Linked DNA regions of Nothobranchius furzeri. The protein of the gene in region 2 interacts with the protein of the main gene of each other region in a pairwise test. Links are inferred from orthologs where the notes say so. Each region holds a gene or a part of one and is shown on either strand. Other genes may lie near its edges. The genes, in order: efhc1 and eif4enif1.

What was found.
Region 1: the proteins of eif4enif1 (region 2) and efhc1 interact in binary tests that used the Homo sapiens proteins (3 or more experiments, as listed by UniProt). The two-hybrid records come from large-scale screens. The link is inferred for Nothobranchius furzeri from reciprocal best matches to the Homo sapiens genes EIF4ENIF1 and EFHC1.

What each region holds. Positions count from the first base shown.
Region 1 is NC_091742.1:6,285,717-6,293,548, forward strand, and holds the end of efhc1 (EF-hand domain-containing protein 1), read right to left. Parts: coding exon 7,758-7,832; intron 7,557-7,757; coding exon 7,333-7,556; intron 7,224-7,332; coding exon 7,086-7,223; intron 3,800-7,085; coding exon 3,586-3,799; intron 2,005-3,585; coding exon 1,852-2,004; intron 1,743-1,851; coding exon 1,714-1,742; 3' UTR 1,613-1,713; downstream 1-1,612. UniProt on the Homo sapiens protein: Microtubule inner protein (MIP) part of the dynein-decorated doublet microtubules (DMTs) in cilia axoneme, which is required for motile cilia beating.
Region 2 is NC_091743.1:66,910,150-66,918,677, forward strand, and holds the start of eif4enif1 (eukaryotic translation initiation factor 4E transporter), read right to left. Parts: upstream 4,271-8,528; 5' UTR 4,079-4,270; intron 3,487-4,078; 5' UTR 3,440-3,486; coding exon 3,359-3,439; intron 3,282-3,358; coding exon 3,208-3,281; intron 453-3,207; coding exon 325-452; intron 118-324; coding exon 1-117. Other genes in the region: protein SFI1 homolog, read left to right, coding at 5,631-5,728, 5,807-5,873, 6,237-6,355, 6,436-6,517, 6,595-6,773, 7,909-7,984, 8,064-8,159, 8,241-8,317 and 1 more. UniProt on the Homo sapiens protein: EIF4E-binding protein that regulates translation and stability of mRNAs in processing bodies (P-bodies). Plays a key role in P-bodies to coordinate the storage of translationally inactive mRNAs in the cytoplasm and prevent their degradation.

The DNA.
Region 1 (7,832 bases), on a different chromosome or scaffold from region 2:
AAGGAAATAACTTATAAACTTAACGATTTAATACTTTTTTATCCACAGAAAGATGGTTTGCATGAAAAAGCGCCGCAAACCTCCACACAAACTCCGTGTGAGCTTCAGGTCGCTGGTGTTCCACAGAGTTAGCTCTGGTTGTAGCTAGGTAGCTACCTCCATTAGCTTAGCTCCCATCTCCGCGTTAGCTTTGGATTAGCTTCAGGTTAGCTTGTAGCTAGTTCAACCGGGTGTCGTCATTTGATTCCAGCCTTACAGCCCCACCCTCAGCTCCACCTCTCTTCCCTTTTGTGGAATTGTCTGGGCTTGACGGAACCTGTGACACGGTCAAAATGGCGGTGGTAGCAACCTCCCATTTCTTTTCCGAAACGTGTTATTGGGGTCTATGGAAACCCATTGTCCACATATATATATATATATATATATATATATATATATATATATATATATATATATATATATATATATATAGATAGATAGATAGATAGATAGATAGATAGATAGATAGATAGATATATATATATATATATATATATATATATATATATATATATAGATAGATAGATAGATAGATAGATAGATAGATAGATAGATAGATAGATAGATAGATAGATATGTCGATGGTTCTACTGCTGGTGTGCTTGACTCAGTCTTGGATCCTCTGGAAGTTTATCCGCTTCCAGCTGAGGCGCTGGAGGGAGTTCAGACACGAACAGGCCGTCCGCAAGAAGGGCAATACAAAGCAACCCTTGCAGCCGCTAAAGAGAGACTCAAGTGAGTTTTGCCACTTATGTTGTATCTTAATGAACTGCTTGATCTTGACTTCTCCATCCCGTGTCTCCTTGCCAGCTGGTTACCATGAAAATAGAGTCATTTAAGCTGAGAATGGAGTTTCTCCTCGGACAAAGAAACTCAAATCCACATAAGAAGGTGAACTAAACGACCGTTAGCCCCCGACTGAAGCTTCTCAGTGAAGCCAGCGGCCCGCTGGCCACCAAGCTTTTGGCCGGGAACTTCCTGTGATGTCACAGGCACTCGGTCACAACAGATTTATTTTACAGTTTTCATTGGTTCACTCAATCCATCCACTCAATCCAATTGTGTTTCACACATTTGTCCTGTACCAGAATGTTTCATCTATCTTGTAATTTGTATTTTGTAATTTGTATTTTGTAATTTGAATTGCTTTTATTGTTGATTTATTCAATATATTTACCTACAACTGTACCATGTTCAGCACTTTGGGCTTCCTGACAGGGTTGCGGAAGGCGCTTTATAAATAAAGCTTTGATTGATTGATTGATTGATTGACTTAAGCTTGAGCGCTGGATAATGAAATCCAAGGAAATCCTTAGAGCCCAACAGACGTTTACTGCTTTGTCATTCCATGTTTTGTTTTTGTTCTCTTCTTAAATGTCTTCAATAAAATGACTTTCTGAAGCAAGTTGTAGGATTATCTGGAGTATCTAAGCATTTTGTTTTTGGGTCAGATGTGTTTTTAGGAAGAAAAGCAAAGTGATACTATTAGTATAGCGCCAATAATAAAGCACAACTGGGGCTACTGAACTACTGCAGGATGAGAATGCTGTCTTTAAAATCATTTCCATCGTTCCCGTTTGTAAATTTATTTGAAAATCCACTAGGTCAAACCTTTTAAACATTCAGTGTTTCTTCTGTGTTTTGAAGCAGAAACATTGAAATAAAATCCAGTGTTCATGTCGGAGATGATTTTGGTTCTTCGCCTGTTGAGGAGGAAACAAAAGTGCAGAATTACATTCATGCACAATTCTTTTTATTAAACCAGGCAGTTTGTGTGGGAGTGTTGGGAATAAAGACAGATTTGATTCTTACCGTTCTGCTCGTCTGGTTGGTTTTCTGCCATCTTCTCACCAAGTGTATGTCTCAAAGAATCCAGTGTGTGAGAGGGAATCTTGCTGGAGATTGACTCCAAGTACTTAAGCACTTGTGGGGCAGCGCCGGTCAGCACAAAGCGATGGCCTAAAACTGGAAACAAACCGTCAGCTGCATTAATGGTGAATGCAGCTCGGTATGGCATTCATTATAAAACATTGTCTATCTTGGTGAAACTTTAGAGTAAATATTAACGTTCAGAATTTGGGGATTACATTGAAATGCTACCTCTCCCTGGGCTGCCACCTTACCGTGGTGGAGGGGTTTGAGTGTCTCAATGATCCTAGGAGCTAAGTTGTCTGAGGCTTTCTGCCTCTGGTAGGGTCAGCCATGGCAAACAGGTCCTAGGTGAGGGATCAGACAAAGAGCAGCCCGAAAACCTCTGAAAATCCACTAGGTCAAATCTGAAGTGGAGGGTCCGTCGGATTGTTGAACCTCAGATTCAGGAGGAGCAATGTGGTTTTTGTCCTGGCCATGGAACACTGGACCAGCTCTATACCCTTAGGGGGATCCTGGAGGGTGTGTGGGAATTTGCCCAACCAGTCTCCATGTGTTTTGTGGATTTGGGGAAGGCGTTTGACCGTGTCCCTCGGGGGCCCTGTGGGGAGTACTCCGGGAGTATGGGGTACCAGGCCCTCTGATACGGGCTGTTAGGTCCCTGTATGACCGGTGTCAGAGCTTGGTCCGCATTGCCGGCAGTAAGTCGGGCTCCATCCCAGTGTGAGCTGGACTCCGCCAAGGTTGCCCTTTGTCACCGATTCTGTTCATCACCTTTATGGACTGGATTTCTAGGCGCAGCCAAGGTGTGAAGGGCATCCGTTTTGGTGGCCTGAGGATCAGGTCTCTGATTTTTGCAGATGATGTGGTCCTGTTGGCTTCATCAGACCGTGATCTTCAGCTTTCGCTGGAGCGGTTCGCAGCCGAGTGTGAAGCAGCTGGGATGAGAATCAGCTCCTCTAAATCTGAGACCATGGTCTTGATTCGGAAAAGGGTAGAATGCCTTCTCCGGGTCAGGGATGAGGTCCTGCCCCAAGTGGAGGAGTTTAAGTATCTCAGGGTCTTGTTCACCAGTGAGGGAAAAGTGGAGCGTGAGATTGATAGGTGGATTGGTGCTGCATCTGCAGTGATGCGGGTGTTGTATCGGTCTGTCGTGGTGAAGAGAGAGCTGAGTCAGAGGGCGAAGCTTTTGATTTACCGGTTGATCTACGTTCCTACCCTCACCTATGGTCATGAGCTTTGGGTAGTGATCGAAAGAACGAGATCACGGATACAAGCGGCCGAAATGAGTTTTCTCCGAAGAGTGGCTGGGCTCTCCCTTAGAGATAGGGTGAGAAGCTCAGTCATTCGGGAGGGGCTCGGAGTAGACCCACTGCTCCTCCACATCGAGAGGAGCCAGTTGAGGTGGCTCATGCATCTGGTCAGGATGCCTCCTGGACGCCTCCCTGGTGAGGTTTTCTGGGCACATCCAACCGGGATGAGACCTAAAGGTAGACCCAGGACACGGTGGAGGGACTATGTCTCTCACCTGGCCTGGGAGCGCCTTGGGATTACCCCGGAGGAGCTGGCCCAAGTGGCTGGGGAGAGGGAAGTCTGGGCCTCTCACCTTAGGCTACTGCCCGTGAGACCCGACTTCGGATAAGTGGATGAAAATGGATGGATGGATTGAAATGCTACCTTCTACAGTGGCTCCAATGGCAAAGTCCACAGGTGAGTAGAACTCTGGTTTTTCCACGGAAGAGCCTGGCTTGGGAACGCAAGTCTTTCTCAGGAATTTCCCACCGATGAAACCAGAGTTGCAGACAGGTTTCTCAAAAATGCTGATCGTGTCGTCCAACAGGAAGTACGACATAACAAACTGTCGGCCTTCATCCTCAGGATTCACCGAGTCCTGGAACCAAAATCAAACATACTTTAGTTTAAAGGTGTCGAACACTGAAAAACCATTTTTTAACGATTATTTCTGATTATAATTGGTTGCTAAGTTTTCCTTGCAGGCTGAATGTGAAAATAGTCTCCTACACTTATCTCCTGAATTAGTCTCTGGTAGAAAATAGATGGTGAAAATCCAGAATTTGAAGGTAAATGTCAGCATCAGCAACTCCACCACATGGAAAAACCCCTCCAGGTTTGTGTTATTTTTGGAGATAAAACATCAATGTTCCAGTGCTGTTATCCAATCTGGGGCGTTATGTTCAAATATCAGGAAATAAGACTCCAAATCCCACCATCTGAAACTCTACTCTGATGCAGCTTACTTCTACTTCCTGAAAATTGTGCACTGGAGCTTTGTTTCCCCAGAGTATGACTTACAAGACCACAGCAAATGTACCAAAAAAAATGAGCGAATCACACCTTTTAAAAACCGAGTACATAAAAATCCAAATTCTTAAATTTTACAGTTTAATGTTTACTAAGGTAGAATTTGACTGAATGTTGAAAATCCTGACCATAGGCGTCATTTTAACCGGGGACGCCGGGGACATGTCCCCGGCAAAATTTGTGATTGGCAGCTGTGTCCCCCCCACTTTCAAAAACGCCTGCTGATGAGGATTTTTGTTTTACCAGTTCAGATCTTATACCAGGGGTCGGCAACCTGTTCCCATCAAAGAACCATTATTACCCGTTTCCCACGGTAATTTTGGACGGACCTTAATAAGCAGAGACTTAAGTGAAGCAGGCAGGTCGCGCTAGAAAATTTCATTTAAAAGACGTCATAAATGTGTTCCCCCGTCATTTTTATTACTAAAATATGAAGTAAAAACTCACAATTTAATTTTCATTCATTTGTCATTAATATGTAGTCTACACCCGTGTGTTAAGTGGACCATCTTCCAGTAAACGCACAGCATCCAGTCCATCTCTCCAAATGCGTAAAATGTGCATCAGCCGCTAGTTAGGCGCGCGCGCACCATCAGCTGATCAGCCCAGACAAGAGCAGAGCAACTAGAGAAAGAATAGAGGATAATTGTGTCTGGATGTGGATGGAGATTACATTTTACAGCAGCCTGATCATCATTTAAATACGTAAACCATCACCTGTCTTCTAGTCCACGCTATCAGCATTATTTTAATTGGTGTGTGTGTGTGTGTGTGTGTGTGTGTGTGTGTGTGTGTGTTTTCCACTTCAAACACTGGTCTAACCAACCAGACCAGCGTGTCCAGTAACATTAATGTTACAATTAAACAGTTTCACTTCATGTATATAGGCTAGGAACATTTCACCTGCCGTGGCCCGACCGCTTCTGCTCCACATAAACTTTGTGCGTGATCAAATGTCATACGCTTCATGCGTCTCCATATTAGAGACGGGAACAAGCGCTGTTCAGCCAAAGTTTCATAATTTCATAAAAAGAACACTTTCCAAGTGACACATCCCTCAGAGAGACCGGGTTTCCAGACTATTTCAGTGGGAGGAAATCATCGCATGCGCGTGGTTCTGCGCTGCGCTGCACTGCGCTGGAACCCCAGATCTTCAGCTCACTGTCCACCGGGGCGCTCCGAGCCGCGCTGAACACAGTGTCCAGTATAAAGAGCTCTGATGTTCTGATGGGAATATTTTACCTCCGCGATGTGCGTTAACGATTAAAATGTCAGCTCATCCATGTGCATCAAAGGGCGTCGGGGTAATTCTTTCAAACAGAGCAACATCCTTGAGTTCATCTGTCAAAATAAACAGTCAAATGGAAATATATGTAACCTGCCGTTTAACTGTTTTGCCTTCCTGTGAAGATTGTTGCAAAGAGAAACAATTAAACTTGATTAACCCTAGAGCCACGCAGAGAACCATGCAGTGCACATGCGGGAAGATTCCTCCCACTGAAGCGAGTGTTTTCCAAACCCCGTCTCTCAGAGAGACTTGTCACTTAGAAAATGTTCCCTGATTATAAACTTTGGCTGAATAGTGCTTGTTCCTGTCTCCAATGTGGCGACACATCCAGGAGCCGTCTGAGGAGAAGCCCAGAATCTCACATCCTCTTCAGCTCATAAAGTGCCTATATGATTACGCACAAGCGTGACCGGTCAACCACCGCAGACCGGGTTGGACCTGTTCAGGTTTACGCAGACAATCTACATTTAGAATTGGCATACAGGTGTAAAATTAATGCAGTAAAATATAAAGCATTTTATTTAAATATCCATTTATTATTTTACAAGCACAGAGAGTTGCATCAGATGGATGGAAGAGCATGCGGCTCCAGAGCCGCGGATTGCCGACCCCTGTGCTAGCCTTCTTTATTGTCCCCAGCAATTTTTAAACCCCACTCAAGTGTATGGTTATTGTCCCCAGCAATTCTGAAAACAAACTGACGCCCTTGATCCTGACAGATCTACGTCACACTGTTGCTGAACATTCATGGACTCACCCATCTTGACAGAGAAGGCTGTTGTTGGTTTAGCGGTCAGGAAACAGCTAAGAACGTCCGGGCAAGTAGAAGCTAACCGTTAGCATTAGCAATTCCACCACACAGCAGAACTCATCCAGGCTTGTGTTATTTGTGGAGACAAAACATCAACGTTGCAAGTCAGTGTTAGAGTCACATTGCTGTTATCCAACCCAAGGTGGGAGGTCCAAATATCAGGAAATATGACTCCAAATTCTGCCGCGATAAGCTCTGCTCTGTTGTGGCACTCTGCTAGTTCCTGAAACAAGCGCATCTGAAACTAAACTTCCTGATTTACTCTGAGGACCATTCCTGCTCTGTAGAGCTAATACATTTCCTGTAGCAAAACCTAGAGTTTAGGAGGGGAACTGCAGTGTGTGTAGCTATACTACCCACTTCAGTGGCCTAGTGATAGAGTGTACGCCCTGCTACTGGGAGATTGGAGTTCAAAAACCGGTCGAGTCATACCAAAGACTAAATAAAATGGGACCCAATGCCTCCCTGCTTCACACTTAGCTTTAAGGGGTTGGATTGGGGGGTTAAATCACCAAATAGTTCCCGAGCGCAGCCACCGCTGCAGTTCACCGCTCCCCACAGAGATGGGTCAAATGCAGAGGACAATTTTCACCACACCAGTGTGTGACAACTATGGGACTTTAACTTTACTGATTAAATGAGTGTTCCACACCTTTATTTGTTTTATGATTGTTAGCAAAGGCTTTTCAAGTCGAAACAAAAAGAAATGTCAGAATTCTAATCATTAAGTATTCGAGATTTCAAAGGTTTCCTCACCAACCGGGCGCTGTAGCGCAACACAGTGTCACCCTTCAACATCTTCTGCAGGTTCCCTTTAGGACGCTTGGGAATTAAAGACAAACAGTTCTGAAGGGAGTCTTCAAGAGAACCGAATCCATTGTAGGGTGGTATGTGCTGTGCATGTTGACAACAGGATGCAGAAAAAGTAAGGTTTGAGAGAAATATTAATGTTACAACAGATATCTTTAGTCTGACAAAGTAATACGAAGAATGTGTTCCAGACCTTCTCTGGAATTGGAGATTCCTTCTTCACTGGTATCTCTGTGGGTTTCATCTCCATGTCTGGGAAGTTCTTCTGGTAATAGTCTTTAGTGAAGGCATCACAGTTGTAGAGCAAGAAGTGATGGTTCAGCAGGGTGACCTTTTGACCCAGCTGGAAGTCTTTGGGGGAGTAGTACTCCTCTACATCCTTCTTAGTGAGCTCCATTATACAGCTAGGGGCCGTTTCTTACAAAGCAAATTTTAAAAAGAGAGAAAAATGAGAAAATCTATCCAGGACAAAAAGCATTTATTTTCACTTATTAGAGGAGTTGAAAACATGTTGTGTATTTTGGTGTAATTTGGTGTATTTTGACACCACCACTTTGTGTCAATATTTTTTATGAAATACCTCGTCTCACAAACTACATTTGGTTAATTTTATCTCACCAGATTTCAGCTTCTTGGGGATCTTCTGCCTGCGCAAGAAGCGAGAGGAGGGATTCCAGCCGCTGTTGTGTTCAT
Region 2 (8,528 bases):
GGGAGTGGGTAGCAGGTGGTGCAGGTGCTGCATTGCCTTGACATCCACCTCCAAAACTACGTCTCTGTGGGCTGAGTACGACATCTAAGTCGTCCTCCTTTAACCGCTCACGAGGATCTAAAAAAAGTTTTTAAATTTTAAAACAAGAAACTCAAGTTCACAGTTTAAGTACAAATACTACCATTTACTTTTTATTTTTCCAGAGAAACCATGTTTCAGTCTACAGCGCAACAACTTCCAACTGTCGGGACTTGTCTTTCACACTAAAGGAAACTTTTTAAACCCAAATTCTCAGTCATCTGAAATGAAGAGGAAAACATTTACCTGGGACTCTTCTCTTTAAAGGAACCCGTTCATCGCCGTAGTCCTTCTTAAATCCTTCTACTGGAGAGCTTCGCTCTGAGATGGGGTACAAGGATGCATGCCATTTCTCTGGGTCCCAGACACCATCACTAAATAAAACAAACATTAAAAATGAGAAATATTGTGGGAATGTATTAGTTTGAAAACTAAAGGCATACCAAGAATAGAAAATTCAAGACCCTTCATGCATGCAACACTTTTAAGTGTTGATAATTAGAAATACTACAAAGACTTTATCTGATTATATGCTGTGAATCATTTGGTTCTGTCCATTTTTTTTGGCTCAATTGCCACTAATCTGTTTTAGGACACAAGGCTAATGTTAAAGTGAAGAAAAAAAAAAGCACCACAATGTTACTATACGTTTGCATTAGTCATCAAAACATACAGACCACAGAACAAAGCCGCCACACACGGCAAGATTGAACATTTTTTATTCAAAATGAAGTAAGGGAGCACCAGTCGCCTGTTGATTTCTTAATTTTAATGCAAAACAGCTGCTGGGCTGCAAATAATTACACATCTAAATTCTTTTTGGTAAAATCAATAATGTTTTTGAAAAATTTCAAATTTAGTGTGGCTGCGATGAAATAAGACTGGGAACTAGAGCAATACGCTAGAAAGAAACATGCAATTGCAGTTTTATTCATGAATATTGTGATATTAGAAATCCCTATTTTCCTCTATACGTTCCATAAAAGTTCAAATTTTAACTGTTTCAACTTTCATCGTCTAAACCAGGTGTGTGCATGGCCATCAGATCAACATGCAAACTACAATTTATCATGTCTTAGGCCGTATTGCAAACAATGGTGTGTTTAGGATGTTCATATATTTTTTTCTTAAGTCCAGTGACCCTGCTACACAGAATACATAAAGCTAGATCTCAATTGCAGTAAAACACGGGAAATTCAGCAGCAGTATCGCATCCATGTACCTCAGGTACCTTGAATGCCACATTAAAATGCAATCTCTTAATTTCAAGTACCAATACAAACCACGAACTGAATATTTTACTTGTCTTTCTTGGAATTGATCATCAGAACCCCAAAACATTACCAAAAAATTTAAAAAAAAAAAAGGCCCCACTTCTCACAAAATGTAAAAAAAAAAAAAAAAAACTACCATGACAGGATACTTGCAATCACCTAAAGACCAGGTCAGCGAGTCCCTCTTGTAATAAGAAAAAATACAAAAGCCTGATAATTTGTTATGTCCTACTTGTGCAGTATTGCTATTTAGCTTGAATACACACATGCTTGAACACACACATGCACACACCAGCAGTTGGACAACATTTTTGTAGTTTATCTCAGATAGGGTTTGCATGACTTAATTTTTTTTTAAAGTCGACAGTCAAGTAATGAAAATCGAGTCGACTTCGACTAGTTGTTGATGTCATACACCCGAAGCGTGGGGGGGGGGGGGGGTCGGTAGATTCGCTGGAGTTTTTGACAATTAAAATTGCGCCCACATTTTCTAAGTTAACACATCTCTTTTAACAATGGTAGTTTCTGCATCCTACTTCAGTCCTCTCCCCCCTCCCCCTGCGCAGCAGCCGCAAACTCACTGATGCGCCTGCAGCCTTTCCTGCTGCTCTTAACATTAAAATAATTATTTCATTTTCTGTTCCTCACTTCTGATTACCTTCAATGGTGTCTGTTTGTTGCAACCACCAGGTACAAAAACAAACTTGTTTTTATTTGACTATTTTTCTGTCCTGTCTGTTTATTATCTTCCTGCATCTCCTCTCAATCCTAAAGAAAAACTGCTACCTGGGTTCATATATATTCACCTTATGAGTTACCTTTGAACTGCAGTTCTAAAAGATCTACCGACCACAAAAACAGCGGAGTGCCACTGCTCGCCGGCTGACTACAACAGGACCGTTTTTGCTGCGGGGTTCGTGCCGGAGCGGAGATACTGGAATCTTGGGGGTGCGTCACCGGAGAACAAAACAGGTGAAGAGCCTCGCTCCGCAGCAGCGAAACGCATCAGGCACAAATAACAGACAGAAAACATGAAAGGAAATGAGCCGACATGAACGATCGCGTGTTTAATTTGTTTTTGAGGTGGTGACACCTGATTTGGCGGTGCTCAGGATGCAGATGTCTGGAGCGCGTCAACGATCAGAGCTTTGCATGCGCAAACTGGTTAAGATTAGGATGGGGGTGAGGGGAAGGTAAAATTGCACAAGGGAAAAGGTCACAGTTTGGTTAAATGTCTGTTTTACCGCCAGTGTCAGTACCGACACTCTGGCACAGCGCGTTGCCTCCGCCTCCCGACGCAGGGGCTCATCACCTGCTGGAGGACTGCATCTTGTCAGTCATTATCACGTGACAGCGACTAGTCGATGACAGGCATAAAAAGTCACTACAGAGCAGTGAAGTCGACTAGTTCATACAACCCCTAATCTCAGATGCAACTTTCAGTAGAATGTTTAAGAACTGTAACAGTTACAACACATTTGATCCATAAAGAACCGTTTAATGAAATGGTTTTTGAATATTCTTTAAAAAAACAAACAAAATGGACTTTTTTACTCCTCATTTAACAAAAAGGCAACTGAAGTGTAAAACTCAAAACCTGCTTAATTTAAACGAGCACAAACCAACAGGGTTCACAATCTTTTCTTAAACAGATCTATTCTACCTAGTATCTGAAGGTAATGAAAAACTTTCTAAATCAGCTTATCTGACAAGGCTGCTTCCACTGCAGAATGTTTCTGTACTTTCTGTTCACTTATTGAGATAATCTGCAGACAATTCTATGATATAACTGGATTTCATTCCCTTTTAAACCTTGTTAAGAATTTGATACAAAACTTAAAAATAAAAAAAATACCTGTCATATTTCTCAGAGAGGCATTCAGGTCTTTCATTGGACACTGGTAGTTCCTTTATTTCCAGAAGCTCTTCCTGTGAACAGAAATAGTTACATTAATTTAAGGGATTGTGGCCAAACAAAGAAACAATTATTTTTTTTAACTAATCACCTTTGTGTATCTGAATGCTGGTTTCCTTTGCTGATTCACAGCAGCATCACCATTCTGTTCTTCATTTGCATCCTTCTCCATGACTGAATACAGACAATCAAACTATGTTGTCCAATAATAATCTTGTCCTGTTGGAACAAAGTTAGCTACTTTTAATTTCAGAAATCCTTATAAAGCAACGCAGTTGTGTGGCTACTCTCTAGTGTCAGTAATTTAACGATTTCGTCTTAAAATTTAGGAACAAGGCGTATTTCTCATAAACATGCCCAAAACGCTATTTAAAAAGTGCAAGCATAAAACTGACTTAAGAGTCCAACACACAACTTTCAAATTATCGGAATTAAAGTTAGCAAAACTTTTAAATGTCAGGTTCAAGCCCATGCCGTTTGCCAATCAGACTTAATTAATCACAATCAGAAATAGCTGGGACTAGACACGGCGTGTCAATTAAAGTAAATTACAAAGCGCTGGCGATGTTTGACCAGGTTTGTGTAGCACGTAGATGCTAAAAGGCAGCTTATAAATCCTCAGCTTGAGTAAAACGTTTCTTTGAACAACACATTCTCGAGAAAATATCTTAATCGAAAGAAATTTAAGCTAACATAATTAGCACAAAACTAAAAAACAGCAACAAACGAACTCTGTTACCACAAACTTAAGTTGCACGTAAAAACAGTACCAGCCATTAAAAAAAGCTTAAAGGACACACTAACAACTTACTGTGAAAATGAGTTAAACGCTGTCTGCTTCCTTCCCAGCTGCAGTTAACGTTAGTTAGCCAGCTAGCCTGTTAGCACCTTTCGCTAGCTACCTAACCAGCTGGGGAATGGGGATAAAACCCACCCAGCGGTTACCAAATCCTAAACCGGTTGAGTTTTGTACTGGTTTTAGTAAACACACTATTGTAAGGTAAACTGAAAAAATAGATCAGGTTCAAATAACATATTAAGTTACGTGGAGCCTGTATATTCTTAAAATAATGTATGGTCTTTCTCTGTTTTCTAAATCGTAGCAGCAATTTTTTTCTTACAATCACCGCTTTAAGAAGGTCCTGGGAGAGATTACATTGTGCCCATCGCGCCTTTGTAGAATTAAAAAAATATATTAATGATAAAATAAATGCATTGTGTGTTGACAGTATTGCATTTTGGTACATAAACAAATATTTGTAATGTATGCGGGTTCAAGAAATGTTTTTTTAATTATCACGTGAAACGTGTTTATTTATTTGGGGAAAAAACATTTTTAACCAATTTACAACACAAACAGGCAATATTTAGGCCACCTATTTAAAACTTTAGGGTTTGCTTGATTTATGATTCTGCGGAGTGGTTTCTCGAGACATTCAGGGAAATCTATGGAGCCCGCCTTTTCGGGCGGTCAAGGTAAATGTATATGCCATGCCTTTGTAAACCCCGTGTTTTTCTTTCTTGCTTCTGTCATGAGATAAATAAGCACATTTAAGTTGCTGTTTGGTGAAGAGTTTTATGAGAAATATGTATAGATCAGCTTGAAGATTTCTTTAGAAATTTAGCCTGTATAACCGCTTTGTAGATATATGGAGCGTCGAGATCAAAATATCGCTCTAGCTACTTTTTCCGAGTGGGTGCGCACCATTTATGTCTTCTCAGCAGGGCTTATAAAAGACAATAATCATCTGGTTTACTGAGGGTGGCTGGTCTGTGTTACCCTAAGTGGAAAAAAGTCTTACTTTCGAATAGAGACACTTAAAATCTGTACCGAATCCAATAATATCCGATCTTATATTTCATTACACTGTACCAAAGAAACAGGAGCACCCGCCCCTCATTTCTAGGCCAGCTCGTGCGCTTTAACTATGGAAAAGAAACAGACCCCTATTAGAGGTCACGTGACAAGAAAAACCTAAACAAACGCGCGGAAGTTGGTTCAAAAAATTTACAAAATTATTCTTGAAGTGTTTGTAATGTCAGACGTGGAATTGTGCAGAGAAGAAGCAGAGAGAAACCAGTAGGCACGTCAACATTTTCAGCGTCGTTTATTGGTGAGAAAATAGAAGGATGAGGTAAAAGGAAAAGGTCGTGATTATTGTTCATTTTGGTTTTGTTGCAGTGTGCAGCATTGGGGGGATTTTCTCTCAACGTCACGCGGAACAAAACCCACCGAGTGAACAACAACGTGGCTGTCCAACACTGTCAACAAACAGTAACTGATCCACACACCAACATCAGTTACAGCTGTTCAGTTCAAATCTGGAAACATCTGATGGGCTCGTGTTTTTGTTTTATTACAGATGATGGGAAAACATTGGGAACAGTGGAAGGAGCGCCTGGAGGAGGCTGAAGATGAGAATTATCAACCCCTAACTGAGAAGGCTCAGATCAACTACCGGTGAAGTTCTTTTGTTTCTTAAATGAAAAATAATGATTTAAAAAATGTTTTGGGTGTAAAAGTATTTTCTCTTTGCAGGATTTCTCTGCTGAGGAGCTTTTTTCACATCTGGAGAAAGAAACTTGCTGAACAGAGACATATGCAGGTATTTCTAGACGTTTACCTGCCAGATACTAATATCACATATGTCCGGTTTTATCACCATAAAATTACTGAAGTAATACGATAAGTCACTAGAACTAGACATAATTTCACTTAGAGATGCTTAATTTTATGGAGACAGTTAAAATAATGTCAATGAAATAACTTTTTATATAAAGCCTCACATGTTTTGTCACCAAAACAAATTTAACCTGTAAAACTAGCAGTTTTTATGTTAGTCTATTTTGTGGTTCATGAGATATTTGTGTTAATGCTAAGTGAAAACGTGATGACTCACTAAAATAAAAACTATCACAATGTAGGGGTAAATTAAAATATGCATGTGCATATTTTTGTTTCTTGACAGAGAATGGAGAGTCGTGCAGACGTGTGGTTTTCTGAGCGCATTTTATCTGAATATTTCAAGTCATGGGTGGAGCTGACTCATCAAGAACAGAGAAGACATGTAGCTGAGGCTTTTGACCGGTGAGGTGGTTCATGAACTCCAAAACAACAGTAAACCGTGATTATTTTTTTTCCAACTTGACTAGATTTTGTGTCCTCAGCCAGCGTGTGACCATCTGGGTGATGGACACCTGGTGGAGACAGTTAGAGACACACAAAGAGGAGATGCTCTCAGAGCGGATGGTACGCCACGAGCAGATAAAAGCTACATCTGATTCAGCAGCAAGCTGCTGATCAGGCTCGTCGCATTGTGTTTCCAGACAGTTCTCCACGCCGAGCAGCATCACCTGCAGAGCGCCTGGGCTCGATGGAGACGGCTCACGAGGCAGCACATGGAAGAGGCAGAGAAGGAGGAGGCTGGGCGTCACCTGGACGTTCACAGACTCCTCAGTGACGGGGTGGCGCAGTGGAAGAGTAACAGCTGTAAGATACGAGACAGGTGAGGCCAAATGAGCGTCGTCGAGCCTTTTGATCCATCTGAGACTATTTGTTAGGGTGGTTTCATTTCATTTATTCAGCCCCTTCCATGACTGAGGCGGACACCCAAGGTGCTGAACACATCAATACAACATAATATAAAAACCATCAGATAAAATGTGACATAATCACAAAAACTATCAAAGAAACATTAAAAAGAAAAAATAATAAAATGCAGCTAAAGGAATAAGAAGCCAGGCAACAATACTGAAGAGTTTGCTATTGCTGGAATGCCTTGTGTAAAAGTGGATCTGAAGGTGACTGACCGACCACCAAAGGCAACTGGTTTCAAAGTGTAGGAGCTAGCACCGAACAATCATGGTCCCTCCGTGACCTGCACTTGGAAAGAGGAACCACAGAACAGCTCTCTGTCAGCCAATCGAAGGGCCCACGATAGGGCATGTCCACGCAGGATCCTGGAGCCAATCCTTGTAGGGCCTTGTATGTCAGTAATAAGACTTTAAATGTGGCCTTGTATTTCACCGGAAGCCACTGAAGGGATGCCAACACAGGAGTGATATGCTCCCTACACCTAGTGCCCATCACAAACCTAGCGGACCAACTGCAAGCGAGCAACTGCGCTCTGTCTCAGGCCGTAAATGATCTGTATTTGTATATCGCCTTCTTAGGGTTCTACAAACTCTCAAGGTGCTTCACAACACAGTCAGTCATTCACCCAGTCACACACTGGTGGGGATGAGCTACGAGGTAGCCACAGCTGCCCTGGGGTGCACAGACAGAGGCGAGGCTGCCGAACGCTGGCACCACTAGCAGGCAAGGCGGGTTAAGTTTCTTGCCCAAAGACACAACAGCAGCAATCTCTGGTGGGAGTTGGGGTCGAACCCGCAACCTTCCAATTACTGGACAACCTGCTCTACTTCCTGAGCTACTGCTATTCCAATGCGTTGCAGTAGTCAAGCCTAAACAGAATAAAAGCATGGGCGATAGACTCTAGATTAACTCTGGACAACGGGCTTGATTCTGGCCAGTCGACGCAAATAAAAAACACACTATCGCACAACTTGGTTGATTTGTGCATCGAACTTAAGGGATGAATCTGTTTGTACTCCTAAACTTGTTGGTTTGTTTTATTTCAGGAGAGACCGAGAGCAGCAGGCCTGTCGTCATGGTGACTTGTGCTGCGTGAGATGGGCTGTAGAGAAATGGAAAAAGGTGCTGTTTAAAATTTGAATTAAGAAAAAAAAACTTAATGTTTGAAAGTGCGTGTTTGTGTGTGTGTGTGTGTGATCAGTTTGTACAAATCCAGAGAAAGAAGAGATGCAAGATGAAAGAAATCCAAAGTTACCATGAAGTCAGACTCCTCAAACGCTTCTTTGAGGCCTGGAAGGTGAATCAGGTTTCATTTAACCACAAGATTTAAAACAAAAGGCAAATTTAAAATCGTTCATCTGGATTATTTTATTCCCAGAAACATCACATCCTGGTGACTCAGGTGGACGAACAAGCGGACGAAGTTTACAGTCTGAAAACTCGCCGTTTTCTCAGGTAATAAACACAAATTATTTTATCCTTTAACCTTTAATATCTGATACTTTTCTAAGAAAACACATGTTTGCATCAGCATCATCAGTTTCACTCATGTGTCTCCAGGAAGGTTTTAAACACATGGAGAGAAAAAGCGGCGCTGCTGGGTGAGGCTCAGGTGGCCGAGCGCCGAGCCCAGAACCACCTTCAGAGATCTCTTCAGCTGAAGGTT